2 linked regions of the Stegostoma tigrinum genome follow. The protein of the gene in region 2 interacts with the protein of the main gene of each other region in a biochemical or structural test. Links are inferred from orthologs where the notes say so. Each region holds a gene or a part of one and is shown on either strand. Other genes may lie near its edges.

Region 1 (8,319 bases), on a different chromosome or scaffold from region 2:
TTTTAGAGCTTTCTAGCTCAGAAGGCAACAAAGGTAGGGTCACAATGTATTTTTAAGGCAGACGGAGATAGATTCTTGCTAGACAAGGGAATCAAAGGTTATTGAAAGTAGGTTGGAATGTAACATTTAAAATACAAAGACATCAGCTGTTACCTTACTGAATAGCAGTGCAGGTTTGTGCAGCCAGGTAGTCTACTTCTGCTTCTTTTCATATGCCTGCAAATTGCTTCACCTCTCCTCCAAATGTCCTTTAAGTCCTCCCTTAAAATCTATCTCTTCGCAAAGTAACTGATCAAACCTCCTAAACTCTTTTTACCAGTTTCGGTGGCAAGTTTCTTCTGATCATGCTCCAATGAAGTAATTTGGAACATTTTATTCAACACAGGTGATATATAAGTCACTCAGAGATAGTAAGAACTGACGATGCTGGAGTCAGAGATAGCACAATGTGAAGCTGGAGGAACACAGCAGGCCAGACAGCATCAGAGGAGCAGGAAAGCTGATGTTTCGGGTCGGGACCGTTCTTGTCTCTGATGCTGCCTGGCCTGCAGTGTTCCTCCAGGTGATATTTAAGTGCAAGTTGTTATCGTACTGTGAGATTCTTATTTCTGAATTACGTTTTATGTCTTCAGAGCACAATCAGAAAAGTTTTCTTTTAGAATGTTAAATGTTGTGAAAACCACTTCATTATACACAACAATATTTATAAAAATTAACAAACCTGGAAAATGAAGGCTATGAAATGTTAAACTCACATTTTTATGGACAATTTACTCTCTGAAAATTGTCAGAATAAAATCATCGCATAAAGTCCAATCGTTCAACTATTTTATGTAATTATAGATGTCAGAAATTCTTTTTTAACCTACCAGTTAAATGAACCCATTTATACTAAAATCTCAAAGGTTAATATTTTGATTGAAATTAATTTCAAGAAATGTATCAAATAAACCATTACATTAAATGGGACACACTCAACATTACTTATCCTAGATAAAATGTTTTTATGCCCACTATCACTACAATTTTGATTAAATATGAAGTTTGTATTTCTATTTTTTTCCCAAATATTACTACACAAACATCTACTATCTAATATTGAGTAATAGTTTTCATCAGTTTATGCTTCAACTGGTTATATTGTATAGCAGTTGCCACAAATTAAGCAGCACTGTATAAAAGTAAAAAGTAATATGCCATTCTAACAAAGTGACATATATATCTAAAAACATTTCCTCAAAATACATATACACATCTTGGTAATATTATGATGTGTATATCAGATATCCTATCTTGTAATGTATAAATGTGCTTGAATCTTTTCATACACTGTGCGGCATTTGTTATAAGGACATACCTCCCATGAAATTAATTGCGATGACAGCATTTCACAATGCAATACTCTCCTCCAAGTGATATAATAAAAGTAATCAGTTGCATATCAATAATATTTTATTACAAGTACTCTTGACAAAGTAAACATAGAACTTTTTCAATGCGCGATTAAAGAGTCTATATGTCAGTTTTTGAACTCAATGGAGTCAGTTTTTCCACCGTAAAAATGTGGTGAAATTGCTGGAGTGGCAAATGACATGTCTTCATCATTCAAAAGGCATTCATTCATGTCAGGAAGTGGAGAGTAAACCACATCCATCATTGCACAAAAGCTCAATTCCAGTATTTGTACTTATGTTAGAACCTCCTATTCAGACTGCACTCAAGGTCTATACCATAACTGGGGACTTAGATAGTATTGGCATGTGAAAATTATTGCAAGATAGTGTTTTGTACAATAAAATTATTTATTAATATTGACAGTAGTATTATTGTGTTAAATACTGTAAATGCAGCAAGGAGGTTTTAATTCACAATTCAACATTTTAAGTGCCTATATTTGTTACCATTTTCACCAAACATAATCAATAATACAATTCAAAAAATGCACCTTATGGACAGTGCTTCTGACATTACAGAAGAAAACCCTTAACCGATACCATAAGATCAAATAGGGTTACTGTAGCAAATTATATCAAATCAAGATGCTCTCTTGCAAACTTTGATAGGAATACAGTTGTTTACCAACTCTGCTTGTTAAAACTAGACAATAGTAAAATGTCTGTTTAAACACGTGGAAAGAAGAGTGTTGTGTACTTCCACTGGAATCAATTACAAAATCTTACCTCTTTTGTGAAGCCACCCCTCTTTCACGATTGTACCTTCAGTCATAGTGATACAAAAGATTTAAAAGTAAGTTGACTCGAAGGTTCCTGATTGAAACCCTTTATTCTTCACAGCAACCTGTGTTAAAGGGAGAAAAAAGCAAGGGTAAGTAGCAGGTAATTATATCAGTTAGCAAGCTTGCGTGGGTTAGGACAAGGTGGGCGTTCACGTACAAGTCAGTGATTTCCAGGCCATTATGAACTTACGGTCCAGACTCTGAACTGATTTTAATGAATGGCAGAGAACGTAACGCGCTTGGCGGAGCATCGGCAGCTAGCATCCTGTTCCCCGGGCACAGCCGCAGGACAAGCGGCTTCCCCGGCTCCTGAGGCGGCTGGCCGGGAGGGAAGCCCAGGGCAGGGGGCAGACCAGTCTAACATCTCCGGACAGGCAAATGGGAACAGGCCTAAAGCTGAGGCAGGCCTGTAGGCGCTGGGACCGTCCTCAGTGAAAGGTTTACCCTGAGGCTTGCTTTCCTACCTGCAGCTAGTCGGGTCCGGCTCCCGACCTCTTTGTATTGCCCCTATGTTTAGCTCCGGATCATAACTAAGGTTCGCAAGGCGCTGAACTGCAGTAAACGGTGTGATAGCTTCTTCCTTGTGCGAGAATGGGTGACGTTAGGCTGGCTTAGTCTCCCCAGCACGTCAGTACGGGGGCTACACAACGCCCAGGCGAGCTCTACATCCTTAACAAGCAGTAAATACAATAATCGGTAGGTTCCGCAACAAATTCAACGACTCCGGCAATTAACAGCAGTGAAGAAAGTAACGACTGAGACTCACTACTAGCATTAAAGTAACTATCATAACTGACAGCAGACAATTCACAGAAACTGATGAGATAAGAACTGCTTGGGCTCAAAAATTAACTAACCTGCTACTATTGCACGTGACACTGAGCAGATCAACGACTCGGACAGCCATTTTTCAGACTAACCCCTCGACCAGCAGAGAACAGTCAATAACAGGGGCAAACTATTGTGGTGGATAGTCAACAAAATCATTGTTTCCATTGGCAGGTGGGATTAGATTGAAGATTTTTTTTAAGTAAAAGGACTGTGTTGTGGAAATTTTGTCAAATTTCATGGAGGGTTTCTCCCAGAGAGGTCTGTCAATCCCAAACTTACTCACTGACCAGGTACCATGCCCATGACAGCCAGTGCTAGCCAATTCACAGTAAGCAGAAGCATTGGTCCCAGGACTACTGGCACCGGCTCATTGTGCATCCTATCTAGAGCTGGCAGTCCAGTGCTGCCCTGTGTAATCAATGATATTTGCCCCGGATGATGCAGGTAATGGAAAATTGCTACCTCACTTTGTAGACCAGGGGACCTGGAAGCTTTAGTCGATAGCATGCTGCTGAGGAGGGCCGTCCTCCAACCCCAGCCTGGTAGAGGTGATCTTGGAACCAGACCCTACCTGCCTATAAGGTTGCCACCTGGATCAGTGGACTCCAGAGTTTGGAGAAACACCTAACAATGCAGAAGGAGAGACTGGAATTGCACACAGTATTCCAAAAGTGGCCTAACCAATGTGCTGTACAGTTGCAACATAACCTCCCACTCCTATACTCAATGCACTGACCAATAAAGACAAGCATACCAAATGCCTTCTTCATCATCCTGCCCACCTGTGATGAATGTATTTTAAAAGAATTATGAAATTGCTCTCCAAGGCTTGCTGTTCAGCAACAGTCCTCAGGATCTTGCCATTAAGTGTATAAGTCCTCCGCAGATTTGCCTTTCCAAAATGCAGCAACTCACATTTATCTAAATTAAACTCCATTTGTCACTCCTAAGCCCATTGGCCCATCTGATCAAGATCCAGTCGTACGCTGAGGTAACTTTTCTCGCTGTCTTCTATACAAAGCAATCTCTATTCCTGTGCTACTCCTACATTACATCACTGTGAATGACTTTGCAACACATTAGAAATTTTACTCCTTGTTCACAATGCATTGTCTCCTTTCTATCCTGCAGATATAAACAGCAATAGCATGGTCTCCATAGTCAACATTCCTCACATCTCTGAGCAAAGTAGCATGTTGCCTCAGAGGATATACCAGCAAGGCAGCCTCATGTACCTATCCACTAGTTCAGGTACTGCCCCCTCAGTGAATGCTTCAACTAGATGTGGGAGTATCTGCTGATGAGCATGTCACTCCTAGGTCTGTGCAGCTGACTGAGAAATGCCCCAGGTCATTGGCATTGGAGAACAGGCACCTGCCCACACTACCCAGGGGAGGAGCCCATTGATGTTGGCAACAAGGGAGTTAATGCTGAGACAAACACAGGAGCAACAGGTACGTTTGTCAGGAACACCGGGCAACATGAAAGAAAGGTTGCAGGATTCCAGAAATGCTACAGGTACCTTGCAGCCTTAGGTCTATGATTGTCTGGCTGTTTCCAAGAACACTTCAGAGAATGCCAGGGGTGCCAACTGTCTCAATGGACTCTGACTCATCCCTTCCTCACCAGCACACAGGGCAGTGCTGGTAGACACCCAGCCAGAGGAGGAATCGTATATATTCCCCCAAGACATCTCTCAGGATACTGCAGAGTTGACTAGGCTTTCAACCCCCTTCCCTGCTTTTCACCTTTAGCCCTCTGGAAGGTCAAGCTGCGGAGATGACTCTGGGCAAGAGACACGCAGCGCATCTGGACCCTATAGGCACAAATGCATCCGGTATCACCCAACCAAAACTCCCAGTCCATTTAACTCCATAATGGGGCAAGCTGCCTCCATCAATGTTGAGGCACCTAGAATTTCACTGAGACAGACTGGGAGGAAAGGAAGAAAATGAGCTTCTGCGGGCACTTAGTTAGCAATGGGTGACACTTTATTGTAAATATATTCTTAAAATTATGGAGGATGGTGGTGGAAGGTTCCTTTTCAAACTGGAGGCCTGTGACCAGCAGTGTGCCACAAGGATCGGTGCTGTCATTTATATAAATGATTTGGATGTGAACATAGGAGGTGCAGTTAGTAATTTTGGAAATGACACCAAAATTGAAGGTGTAGTGGAAACCAAAGAAGGTTACCTTGGAGCACGATAAGACCTTGGTCAGATGGGCATATGGGCTGAGGAGTTGCTGATGGAGTTTAATTTAGGTAAATGTGAGGTGCTGCATTTTGGAAAGGCAAACCAAGGCAGGACTTATACACTTAATAGTAACGTCCTAGGAATTGCTGCCAAACAAAGAGACCTTGGAGTGCAGGTTCATAATTGCTTGAAAGTGGAGTCCCTGGCAGGATAGTAAAGAAAGCATGTGGTATGCTTGCCTTTACTGGTCAGTGCAGTGAGTATAGGAGTCCGGAGGTCATGCCGTGGCTGTACAGGACATTGGTTCGGCCATTTTTGGACTATTATGTGCAATTCTGGTCTCCCTGCTATAGGAGGGATGTTGTGAAACTTGAACAGATTCAGAAAAGATTTACAAGGATGTTGCTGGGTATGGAATGTTTGAGCTATAAGGAGAGCCTGAATAAGCTAGAGCTATTTTCCCTGGATCGTCAAAGGCTGGGGCAGGACCTTATAGAAGTTTATAAAATCATGAGGGGCATAGATAAGATAAATGGCCAAGCTCTTTTTCTCAGGGCAGGAGAGTCCAAAACTAGAGGGCATAGGTTTAAGGTGAGAGGGAAAAGATTTAAAAGGGACATAAGAGTTAACCTGTTGATATAGAGGAGGGTGCATGTATGGAATAAACTGCACAGACCCATTCCCCTGTAAACCCACCTAATCTACACATCCCTGAACATGAAGGGCAATTTACCATGGCCAATTCACCTAGCTTGCACATCTTTTGGACTGTGGGCAGAAACCGGAGCATCCCCACACAGACAGAAGGAGAATGTGCAAACTCCACACAGACAGTCACCTGGGGGTGGAATCAAACCCTGGTCCCTAGCACTGTGAGGCAGCAGTGCTAACCACTGTGCCACCCCAGTGGTCTGTGAGCGAATGTCTATCTGTCACAACTTTGACACTGAAGGTACAGAGCCTAACCATCTGTAGTGCTACACAATGTCCTTTTGTCCAAGGTGTTAAGCTTCATGTACAGGCTCTGGGAATTTGAAATGTGATTGCTGCTCTGGCAATGATTTACCAGATATTGCCGGGGATGAAGGGCTTAAGTTATAAGGAGAGGCTGGATAGCCTGGGACCTTTTTTAGTGGAGCGTAGGAGGTTGAGTGGTGACCTTATAAAGATTTATAAAATCATGATGTGTATAGATAAGGTGAATGGCAGGTGTCTTTTCCCAAGGGTAAAGGCTTTCAAGAGTAGACAACATATTTTTAAGGTGAGAAGAAAAAGATTTTAAAAAGATGTGAGGGGGTTTTTTTTGATACAAAGAGTGGTTTGTGCGTGGAATGAACTTCCAGAAGAAGTGGCAGATGTGGGTACAGTTACAATGTTTAAAAAGTATTTAGATAAGAAGCATTTGGAGGGCTCTAGGCCAAGTGCAGGCAGGTGGGAGTAGTTTAGGTTGGGATTACAGTCAACATCTACTGGTTGGACTGAAGGGTCTGTTTCCGTGCTGAGTGACTCTATGGCTCTATAACTGTGAATGTTTTCACTTTGCAAAGCATTGTTTGTGCATCACAGCCAATAATGGAATTGATTTGTATTGTTGCCTGTTGCAGTCAAGAGTACTTGGGACCAGGATTTAATGCCTTTGGTTCACATAGTACGTAATGCTCGCAGATATGTTTCAGCAAAAGGGTAAGGGTATCTGTGAAGTATTGTTGCCCTTCAAAGTGCATCTTATTGAAGAAACTTATTGAAGACCCTTCCCTCACACTTACCCTGTCTCTGGGTGTGGTGGCAGCCATTTTCAGCACTTGATGCTTCCAGTACAGTGGAATGAAACAGTGGTTATTCCTCAACCAGTGAAAGTCAACTCAGCCTCTCACTCTAGATGAGTCTGCAAATTACATGTTCCCTTCTTGTAGCCCTTTTCGTAAATCCCCATAGTCTTCAAACATCCCCAAGTATCCTCCCACTCTGTCTGAATTTTCATTGCCCCACTTGACACAGTCCCTGCTCCCCATCCCCAGGCATATCAAGTAAACATGCCAGACCTAGTCCTCCACTGTCACCCGTAGAAATTAGGGTGTTGCTGACTGTTGATGACATGACTCTAGTAATACCCCCTTACCTCCAACATATCATCCTCCTCATTATATAATGAGTTGCCATCCCCTTGCACAATTGTAATCCCCTCTGAACCCCAGCATGCTGCCTCTAATCCACAAAATTAAGTTTCCAGCGACCTTCCCACGCTCAAGCCCCTGATAAACCCCCCAGGGACTTTTAGTGAACAGACCCCAGGGCTGACTACAGCTCACCCCCTTGAGTCACTTAGAAGGCCAGAACAATGAGTGACCAGGCCCACTGACTGGTAGTTGGATAGCTCCCTGACTGTGGTTCCACAGCTCCCCGAACTGGATGTACTGGAGCCACAGGGCTGACTGTGGCTCACCCCCAGGCTGTAGAAGTATGAACCACTGACAATGACCATCCCAGATGTTCCACTGACCATACCCAAGCCTCTGAATTGATACCAGAGGCTGACCTTGACTTACTATGCCAGGAATCCCTGCAAAATGCGTGTCCCCCTTGACTTGATTGGGAACTACTCCCCTCAGACTTTGAGACATGACCATTTGTATGAAGCATATGCAGTGTGCTGGACGCTGCACGCACTGATACAGGGTGCAGTTCTGAGACTGACACAGCACATACCACCCAATTGACTGATGACTGTTGACAACCTTAACAAGCTGTCTGCCTTTGTGTTTGTGCTGAAAGGCAAGGCAAACAAAAATTTTGTGAGCCTTTAAACTTTGTCTGAGGGGACAAAGTGCACAAAGTTGAGGCAAGGCAGGGAGGCTGTGAGCATACAAGTAGGCACAAAATGAGTGAGCATGAAGAGACCAAGTGAAGATCTCTTAGATGCACTGTTATGATCCCAGCGGATGCTGTTACTAGTCAAATTCCAGACTGAAACCTGGCTTTATAGATCATATTTTTTTTATTTAGTGAGATAGTCTTTCATTGAAACCTAAACATGCATGCTGCAGATTTCATTTTAAC
Region 2 (8,439 bases):
CCCTCAAACAGTTCAACTCTGCAATGATAACTGCTAACCTTGCTGAGGATGATTCTTTTAATTTTCCTCCAGTTTAATGTTATTAATGTAGAAATGATAACTAAGATTCAGATAAGTACAGGATTCAAGTGCAACAGATTTATCACAAAGTTGAAGTCAAATCTTTCTGCATGGATTTAGAAAAGTTCCCTTTAACAAGCTGTTAATTATAGATAGTGGGATATCTGACACCTTGTTGCTGAAGTCCAGTGCCCAAGTGAAAGAGGAACATGTGGACCTTTCACGTCTGCAAGCACAACAGAACTCAACCATGGTCTGATCCAATTTCATGTCTGCTGTGTACAGATGGCTGCAGTGACCACCACTACTCTAATATCAGGTTGTTATATTTGAACTCAGACCTTCCATAACAGTATTCCAGGCCAGACTATCTGGAGTCTGATGAAATATTCTTGGCGCAATATATTTAAATCAGGTTTACACTCTGCTATGTTTAGGCAACCAAGCTTTGATTCAGTTTATAAAACAAATGGATAACTTAGCTGTCTGTGTATTTCAACAATCCGAATAATTCCTTTCCAACTGCAGTCAACACATGCGCACTCATTGCATCAATGTGGAAATTAAAGTGGAGAATTAAAATAAATCTAAACACATTTAACTAGCTAATACAGTTACCATCTGGAAATACAGACTCGCTTTTACACAAAACACAACCATGTGTAACTGACTTTTACTTCTACTTCAATTCTAACAATTTTGAGTAACGTAAGTAACACATTTTAAATAAAATTGAGCTTCACGAGGTTAGGAGCAGACACCTGAGGCACACAAAGGGAAATCATTTGTTAATCTTACAGCTATTTTAAACCACAGGAAACAAATTTGGATGCCCAAAGCTAACTAGGAAAGGATACCCCTTTCTAACTTAAAAACCAAGGGAAATTTACAATGTGACATTAAGCATTTTTTGCAGTTTCAAGTGCAATTATGGCCCAAATCAAAAAGATTGATAGGTGATGTTCTTAGCTGAAGTATATTATTAATGTTACAAAGATTTAGCCAATCTGCTTTCAAGTAAATTAATCTGCAAGTGGCAAAATCTGAACATTTTAAATTCACGTGTTTTACTGGATAAATAACTTCTCATCCAAAAATGTAATTTATTAGCAGTAAAACATGTGATACTTGATTTCAAATTTTATGAATTATGTCAATAACAACCTCTGACAGATTGTACAGATCAAGTGAGCAAAATTGTTTTGCATGCAAGTGCTTGCCTAGAACACTTACTTTTGTAGAGATGTCTACCTAAACTGAATCACTTTCACTACAGGAAACCAGTAAAAACATTGAACACAGAAGTTAAAAAAGACAAGAAAATTTCCTCAGCATTAACAACCGCCTATAAATGGTGCTCTTTGGCCAGAAAACAAATTTCATATTGAGAATATCTATAGAATATACAACACGTTTCACATATTCTTTAGACTCAGTCCATAGCTACAGATCTGAGCAGTATCACTAAATAGATCAGTAAATCATTAAAATTGTCTGTAATTAGAAACTCAAGTGTAAATCAACACTAGGGCACAGCTGTCTGCAATCATCACTGGCAAATTTTGAAACAATTAAAAATGCTAGAAAATTTAATTTTAGGACTTCCTACATTTTCTAGCACAGCAATCACCCTGTTTAACAAAACTATCACTAAATTCTACAGACACTGCCCACAATTTGTACTAAAAGTGGGAGTAAAATAGATAAGCTGATTTTTAATTTGAAGCCTTTGAGGCAGGGGAGAATTAGCTTACCTTGCACTTTCGTCCCCAAACAGCTCCAGTCATTTCCTCCTCAGAACTGAACGTCTTTTGCTCTGATCTAGGAGCTACGTGGATTTGTAAATGAGGGATCCCAACCCTTGAACAACAATGTTTAGGTTTTGAATGATAACTGGAAACCAGCTGACAGGGAACTTCAAGTGAATGGCTCCTTTGAAAGATCGGACGCTTGTTTTGTTCATTTATAATTTCCCTTTCTACCACACCATTAATATTAAGTTGGCAGTCTGAATGTTTGAACGAAGGTAAACATACAGAGGTGCTCCTTATTAACTTAATAGGATGATGCGCATGTCCAGTATTTAAAGAGCTCTGCTTAAACTCCTTCACAAATGATTCAGGGTGAATTTGTCCTTCCTTGGGCTCTGTTCCAAATACATGAGCTCTTTGGTAGTTGAAATGCAGAACGTGATTTGAAGGTCTGTGCGGTTTCTTCACTTTTCCCCAATACTCTGCTTCTTCCTCGCCGTAATCTATTGCTCGATTTTTGCCAGGTTGCTGTCCGTTACAATGAAGCGACTTAATGTCTCTAACTTCCGAAGAAGGACAAACTGGGTTAGACAAACGCAGCCCATTAACTGCTGTTGCAACAAAACATGTGCTTGCTTCTTTGGATTTAGACACAGCCTGATCTTCATCTTGCTTTGGTTCATGAGGGCAAGGAAGAAATCTGTTTAATGTGGGATTGCTACTTGCACTTGTAAATGGATCTGGGCTTGTTGGTGTAGCTGGCGGAGTACTACACGGACTCTGAGGAAATATCACCAATGATGAACAACGCCTCAATGGAACCTTCGGTTTTCTCAACTTCACTGATGCTTTGGTGGACTCCATCGCACGTTCTAAAAGCTCTTGGTCAAAAGAAATACCGGCATTGCACAAACCACCCTCTCTGCCATTGCAACGAGTACTAGATTCACACTGTCCTCTGGATTGTTTGGACTGCAGTGATATTTGCAAGGTAGAGCTCTTTTTGCGGTGATGATCACTGTTGCTGACCTGTGGTATAAACAATGAAGAACTGCGCTGTAGGATACGTTCATCCTGTGCTACTGTCTGCGCTGCCACAGGTTCAAGTGCAGTCACTTGGTGAACATTCTTTCTCACATGTACTGGTACAGTCTCAACTGTCATACAAATGTTACTCTCCAAGCCTTCTCCCGAAGTTTCAGACAGTGGGTCAGTGTTGCTCCTCCTGGTTGCAAAATGCAGTCGCAAACGACGGGCCATTCTTCCCTTTTGAAATACAACAAATGTGGTCCTAGGTTGGAATGAATCTGAGCTAGTTAAAAACTCACATTCTGCAGAGAACACTTAAAGCAATCATAGCAAGCACTGCCACTTGCGATACGGTCACCATCAGGAGCTGTAGATAAGCAGAAATAGCTGAAGTGACAAGCAGCATTCCAGTCATTACTGCACTATGGCTATTAAGCCTGGGAAGTTAGAAATGTCCAGCAGCAAAAATCATAATTGCAGGAATACCTCCCGCAATTCTGAATAGCCATGAATGTCTCTTAACGGTGAGAAATGAAGGCAGACTCTCTTCCACAGCACTGAAAACTCAGCAACCTTTACAAGAAGCTCAGCTGCTGCACACTGTTTGAATTCTGGCCAACCTTGCTTCAATTAAATCTCCTTTACTTCCATGAGTGACTGAATCCAACCCAAAATCAACATCTTCTTGCATTTCGGTTTCATATATTACATCTCGTCCCCAGCAAGCAAGCTAAATATGTGGCACTGCTTTAGGCACTGGAGCTTCAAATGTTTCTCCTACACTGAACCAACACCGTATTTTTACCTCATAGTATTGCATTACAGGAAATTTTAAAGAGCAACATCCAGCATAATTCAGAATCAAAAGGTTTTCTGAGTATTACCCACAATGTTAAACCTCCAGGATATGGGAAATAGACAGGAAGCTACTGCTAATAACTGCAAGAGCACTCCGCAGTTTTGCATTTACAATTGAATACAATTTGCCTTCATCAGTTCCTCAATGTGATAAAGATTGGCTTTTTTTTTGCAGATAGTAGTTCTGAACTCACGCTCTCAGTTCGGCTTTAGCTGAACACATTGAAATCCAACCATCTAAAAGAGGCAACGATTTAAAAGAAGCAAATCCTTGTTTAAAAAGAAACAAAAACAGAACTATTATTAGACTCCCACTGGACTGAAATCCTGCTGGTACCGGGCTGCTAGCGCTTGTTAAGACTGTTCAGTGTGGCTAAGTAGGAAAAACCTCTCTCTTCATACACAGAAATGCCACATTCTGACATTTGAAACTCATGACCGTGCCAAAGGAGTTACATTCTTTTCTTCCTGTGGCTTTCCGATCAGATGTACAGATTCAAAAGCACTGAATATAATTAATTTTTACAAGAAAGCATTTTTCAAATACTTTCTCCTTCGTCTTGTAACCATGTAAAAAAGGTACAATCTTAACACATCAGAAATTGTTCCTCGATGTGGGAGTTTTGCACCAATATCTAGGACTATGACACTGCATACACTTTACAAGAGAGAGAAAATTTCCTTTGAGTGAAGTCACAAAAGATTTTAAGTTCCAAGCCTTGTAAGACAAAGTTGTTTGACATTTTAATGTGTGGAGCCATGACACAACATGACTAGCCACTTCACACATTCCAGGTAAAACCTGAACATAATACTTTATTAACTCACCACTCAACAGTTTGCAAGTTGCTATGCAGGAATAGTGGCTCATTCAGCAGGACTGATGAAATAAAATGTGCAACATTTTTCTACAAATCAAACAGCAAGTGTTTAATAACTGTATGATGGCCATCTTAATGCCCTTAGGGATAAAAGTGGCTGCACAATGGAAAAATGTACTGCTTATAATCAAAAGCTGTAACAACTGCCCCATTTTCTGTTGGCATTTTAACAGATGCCTTTTACAAAAATTTTCTACCACTGCACAGAAGTGAGAAAGTTATTCTGAACTGCAATTAAAAGTAAAAATGGCCCTTTGAGCATTTCAATTTGCACTTAGTCAAAAAACAAACAAAATAGCTAACTTAACTAAACAGCTTGCACTAGGGGCATAGGTAGTTTCTTTGTACAGAATAACTGCTTGGTCAAACTCCTTTTTTTTTAATAGCAAGAACATTTCTATAAAAAAATGCATCTGGATAGAACAATGCTCTCTTTGTAGAAAAAAAAATCTGTATCATGCTTTTCAAGTCCAAGACTTTTTTTCCGCTAAATAAAGTTCCAGACAGCCAGATGCATAGGAATTTTTGCTACAGACCAGCTCAGCTTTTTCAACATTGCACTGAACTGGAATATTCACAGCCATTCCACTGTATCACTCTTCATTCTGCATTCTGTATTACTAATAACAACCTATGCCTCTTCACATGCTAGAATGTCTGCTTTGAAAAAAAATACCAAGCTTCTCATATGGGGAACAAAAACTTAAACCCTGTTAAATACCATCATTTTGAAAGCACACACCTGAACAACAGTAATATAATATCAATAGAAATTCTAGAAATGGACAAACGTCAACGGTAAAAGAATTGTACGCACAGAACATGCTTATGGACTGGAGTTTCTGTGAATTGACTCAACTCAAAAACAATTTTATGAGACTTGTCCTTCCAACAATATACGTACGGGGTCGTAGCTAGACAGACCACAGAATCCAGTCTCCAAGAGAAAGTGCTTATTGTCTAACTGAACACAGTACAAGGTGGGCTGACGGGAAAAAGAAGCAAATGGCGAGCAGTTATTCCAGAGCTCTGGGTGAGTCGGGAGAGGGACTAGCAATGTTAATGAAATGCCCTGAAAAAGTGTGGCTGCTTGAGGAGTGCTGATGTGAGCACAGGTATTGGGATCTGCAGCTTACGGCACTCCAAAAATGTGACAGGATGGTGGAGACAAATCCAATAGCGGTTCGCAAAAAGAAATTGCATACATTTTTTGAAGAGAAGTGATTACAGGGTTTCAGGGGAAAAGTTTGGAAGTGGAATGAACTGGATTGCTCCTCATAAGGACTGGCATAGAAGTGATAGGTCAAATGGCCTCCTTCTTTATTGCATTAGTCTATGACTGCACAGGAGGAAAGTTAAAACTTACAAAAAACGTCATCGCAGCACATTGGAGAATCAGCTCTGTTGTCAAGCTGAGCAATGCATGGCAATGTCAATTTGTGGACTGCCTGCAGTGTTTCCCACTGTGAGGAAACCAAGTGGATGCAGGACACATCCTCACAGGATGTCAAGGAAGACTCAAGGGTAAGTCTCCAGCCAAATTCTGCACCCTACTTAGCAATGTGTCACAGGCCTGGTATAGGACGACAGCATCCTTGTTATCTCAGGAAATGAACAGCCAATGGACACCACACTCAGAAAACATATTTAATGAATTTTCATTGCTTACTTAAAAAAAATACACTGTACTAAGCCATACACTGCAATGGCATGCATTTTCTTTAGGCCAAGTGCCATGACTCAAGCTTGGAGTAAAATGACTGAGAGGCATGATAGTAATGCACTCAGGTTGTAATCCGTGCCCAGGCTTATAGGTTCAAATCCCACCTTGGAAGAAGAAATCTGAATTTAACAACATATTGAATTAAGAATTAATCTAATGGAAACCATGTAACCATTCTTGGTTGTTGTAAAAAGCCATCTGGTTCACCAATGTCCTTTAGGAAAGGTAATCAGCTGTTTCACCCAGTCTGGCCTACATGTGGTTCCAGACCCACAACAACGAGGTTCATTCTTCAATGCCCTCAAAGCAGCTAAACCCCAGAGATGAAGTCACATGACTATCCTAGATGTCAAGGTAGCATTTGGCCAAGTGTGACACCAAAGAACGCTCATAAACCTGAAGTCATTGGGAATTGGGAAAATACACTTCACTCGTAGAGTCATACCTAGCACAAAAGGAAAATGGTTGTGGTTGTTGGAGGTCAATCACCTCGGCTCAAGTATATCACTGCAGGAGTTCTGTAAGGTAGTGTCCTAGGCCTAAACATCTTCAGCTTCCTCATCAATGACTCTCCGTCATAAGATTAGAGGTAGTGGTTTATGATTCTTCAGATACTGAAATATTTTGAATAAAAATTGAAAGGACTACAGATGCTTTAAATCACCTTAGTTCTGAGGATGGGTCATTTGGCTCGAAACATTTAACTCTGATTTCTCTCCACAGATGCTGCCAGACTTGCTGAGCTTTTCCAGCCATCTCTATTTTTGTTACTGAAACATTCTGGATCCATATGCAGCAACATCCAGGCTTTGACTAATACATGGCAACTGATATTTATGCCACAGAAGCATCAGTCAATAATCATCGCTATCAAGAGAAAATCTAATCATTGCCCCCTAACATTCAATGGTTTATCATTACTGAATACCCCACAATCAACCTCCTGTTGATTACCAATAACCAGGAACTGAACTGGAATAGTCATATAGAGAGTGTGGCTACTAAAGCAGGTCAGGGGCCACGTAAATACTGTGACTATAAGAGAAAGTTAGAGGATAGTTAATAGTGAGTAACAGACAGCCTCCAACCCCAGCACCTGTCCACAATCCACCAGCACATGTGAGATGAAATACTCTCCACTTGCTTGGATCAGTGCAACTCCAACACTACTAAAGAAACCGTGCATCACCTTCAACCTTCACTTCCTCTACCACTGACACACGATGGCAGCATTTCTGCACACGGCAGTAACTTAGAGGCTTCTTCAACAGCACCTTACAAACCCATAACCTCTACCACCGAGGAGGAGAAGGACAGCAAAAAACAGGAATATCAGCACCTGCAAGATCCCCTTCAAAGAAAATGCCATCTGACTTGCCTTTACTTCACCATCATTGGGTCAAAATTCTCGAACTCTCTTCCCAACATCACTGTGGGTGTACCTACACCCCGAGGTCTCTTGTAGTTTGGGAAAGTAGCTCACTACCAGCTTTTCCAGAACAGTGAGAAATAGGCAATCAACAACAGCGTAGCCAGTGATGCCTGCCCTTGTCCCAAACCAAAACAAAACACCATGATACTTAGACATTTAAATTAATCTTATACGTTGAGTCAGTAATACAGTATGCCTACAGAACTTGGGATGCAATTACTAGCTTAATCAGAACATACTATGCAAAGGTGAAACAGCGACATCCCTCCTGCACATTCAGAAGCTGCAAATGAAAATAAGAGTTAGGTTTATCCTCAAGGTGGCAATTTCATCATACTCACCAAACGGTTTTCATCAAACACTTCAAAAAGAATTCGATGCTGCCTTGGTTGAACCTAGAAAAAGACATAAGATATAAAAATATGCTCATTAGAAAGGACACAGGAGTTTTTCATTCTATGCTACCCAAGTTGTAATTTAACAGAATTTAAATGCACACTCTAACGTTCCCAGGCAGGTAATCAATCATGGAACTTTTCAAGATAGCATTACCTGTTTGTCAGAAAGTAGGTCAACTGAGTTAGAAACAGCCTTGCAATATTTTAACTCTTAATCCGATGCAGATAAGAACCAAATGTCCCGAAACAAAACAGACAAAATACATTGGGACTCGTATTATACTTGTCTATTAGGCAGCAGATTACA

Evidence for each region. The genes of interacting proteins can lie anywhere in the genome.
Region 1: of the proteins of E3 ubiquitin-protein ligase NEDD4-like (region 2) and akt1, one has a biochemical effect on the other in vitro, tested with the Homo sapiens proteins (3 studies listed by BioGRID, with this or other methods). The link is inferred for Stegostoma tigrinum from reciprocal best matches to the Homo sapiens genes NEDD4 and AKT1.

The regions. Positions count from the first base shown.
Region 1 is NC_081363.1:42,991,119-42,999,437, forward strand, and holds the start of akt1 (RAC-alpha serine/threonine-protein kinase), read right to left. Parts: upstream 3,201-8,319; 5' UTR 3,094-3,200; intron 3,000-3,093; exon of another isoform or gene 2,701-2,999; intron 2,485-2,700; exon of another isoform or gene 2,427-2,484; intron 2,299-2,426; 5' UTR 2,227-2,298; coding exon 2,181-2,226; intron 1-2,180. UniProt on the Homo sapiens protein: AKT1 is one of 3 closely related serine/threonine-protein kinases (AKT1, AKT2 and AKT3) called the AKT kinase, and which regulate many processes including metabolism, proliferation, cell survival, growth and angiogenesis.
Region 2 is NC_081386.1:15,733,151-15,741,589, forward strand, and holds the start of E3 ubiquitin-protein ligase NEDD4-like, read right to left. Parts: upstream 3,165-8,439; 5' UTR 3,072-3,164; coding exon 1,815-3,071; intron 1-1,814. UniProt on the Homo sapiens protein: E3 ubiquitin-protein ligase which accepts ubiquitin from an E2 ubiquitin-conjugating enzyme in the form of a thioester and then directly transfers the ubiquitin to targeted substrates. Specifically ubiquitinates 'Lys-63' in target proteins.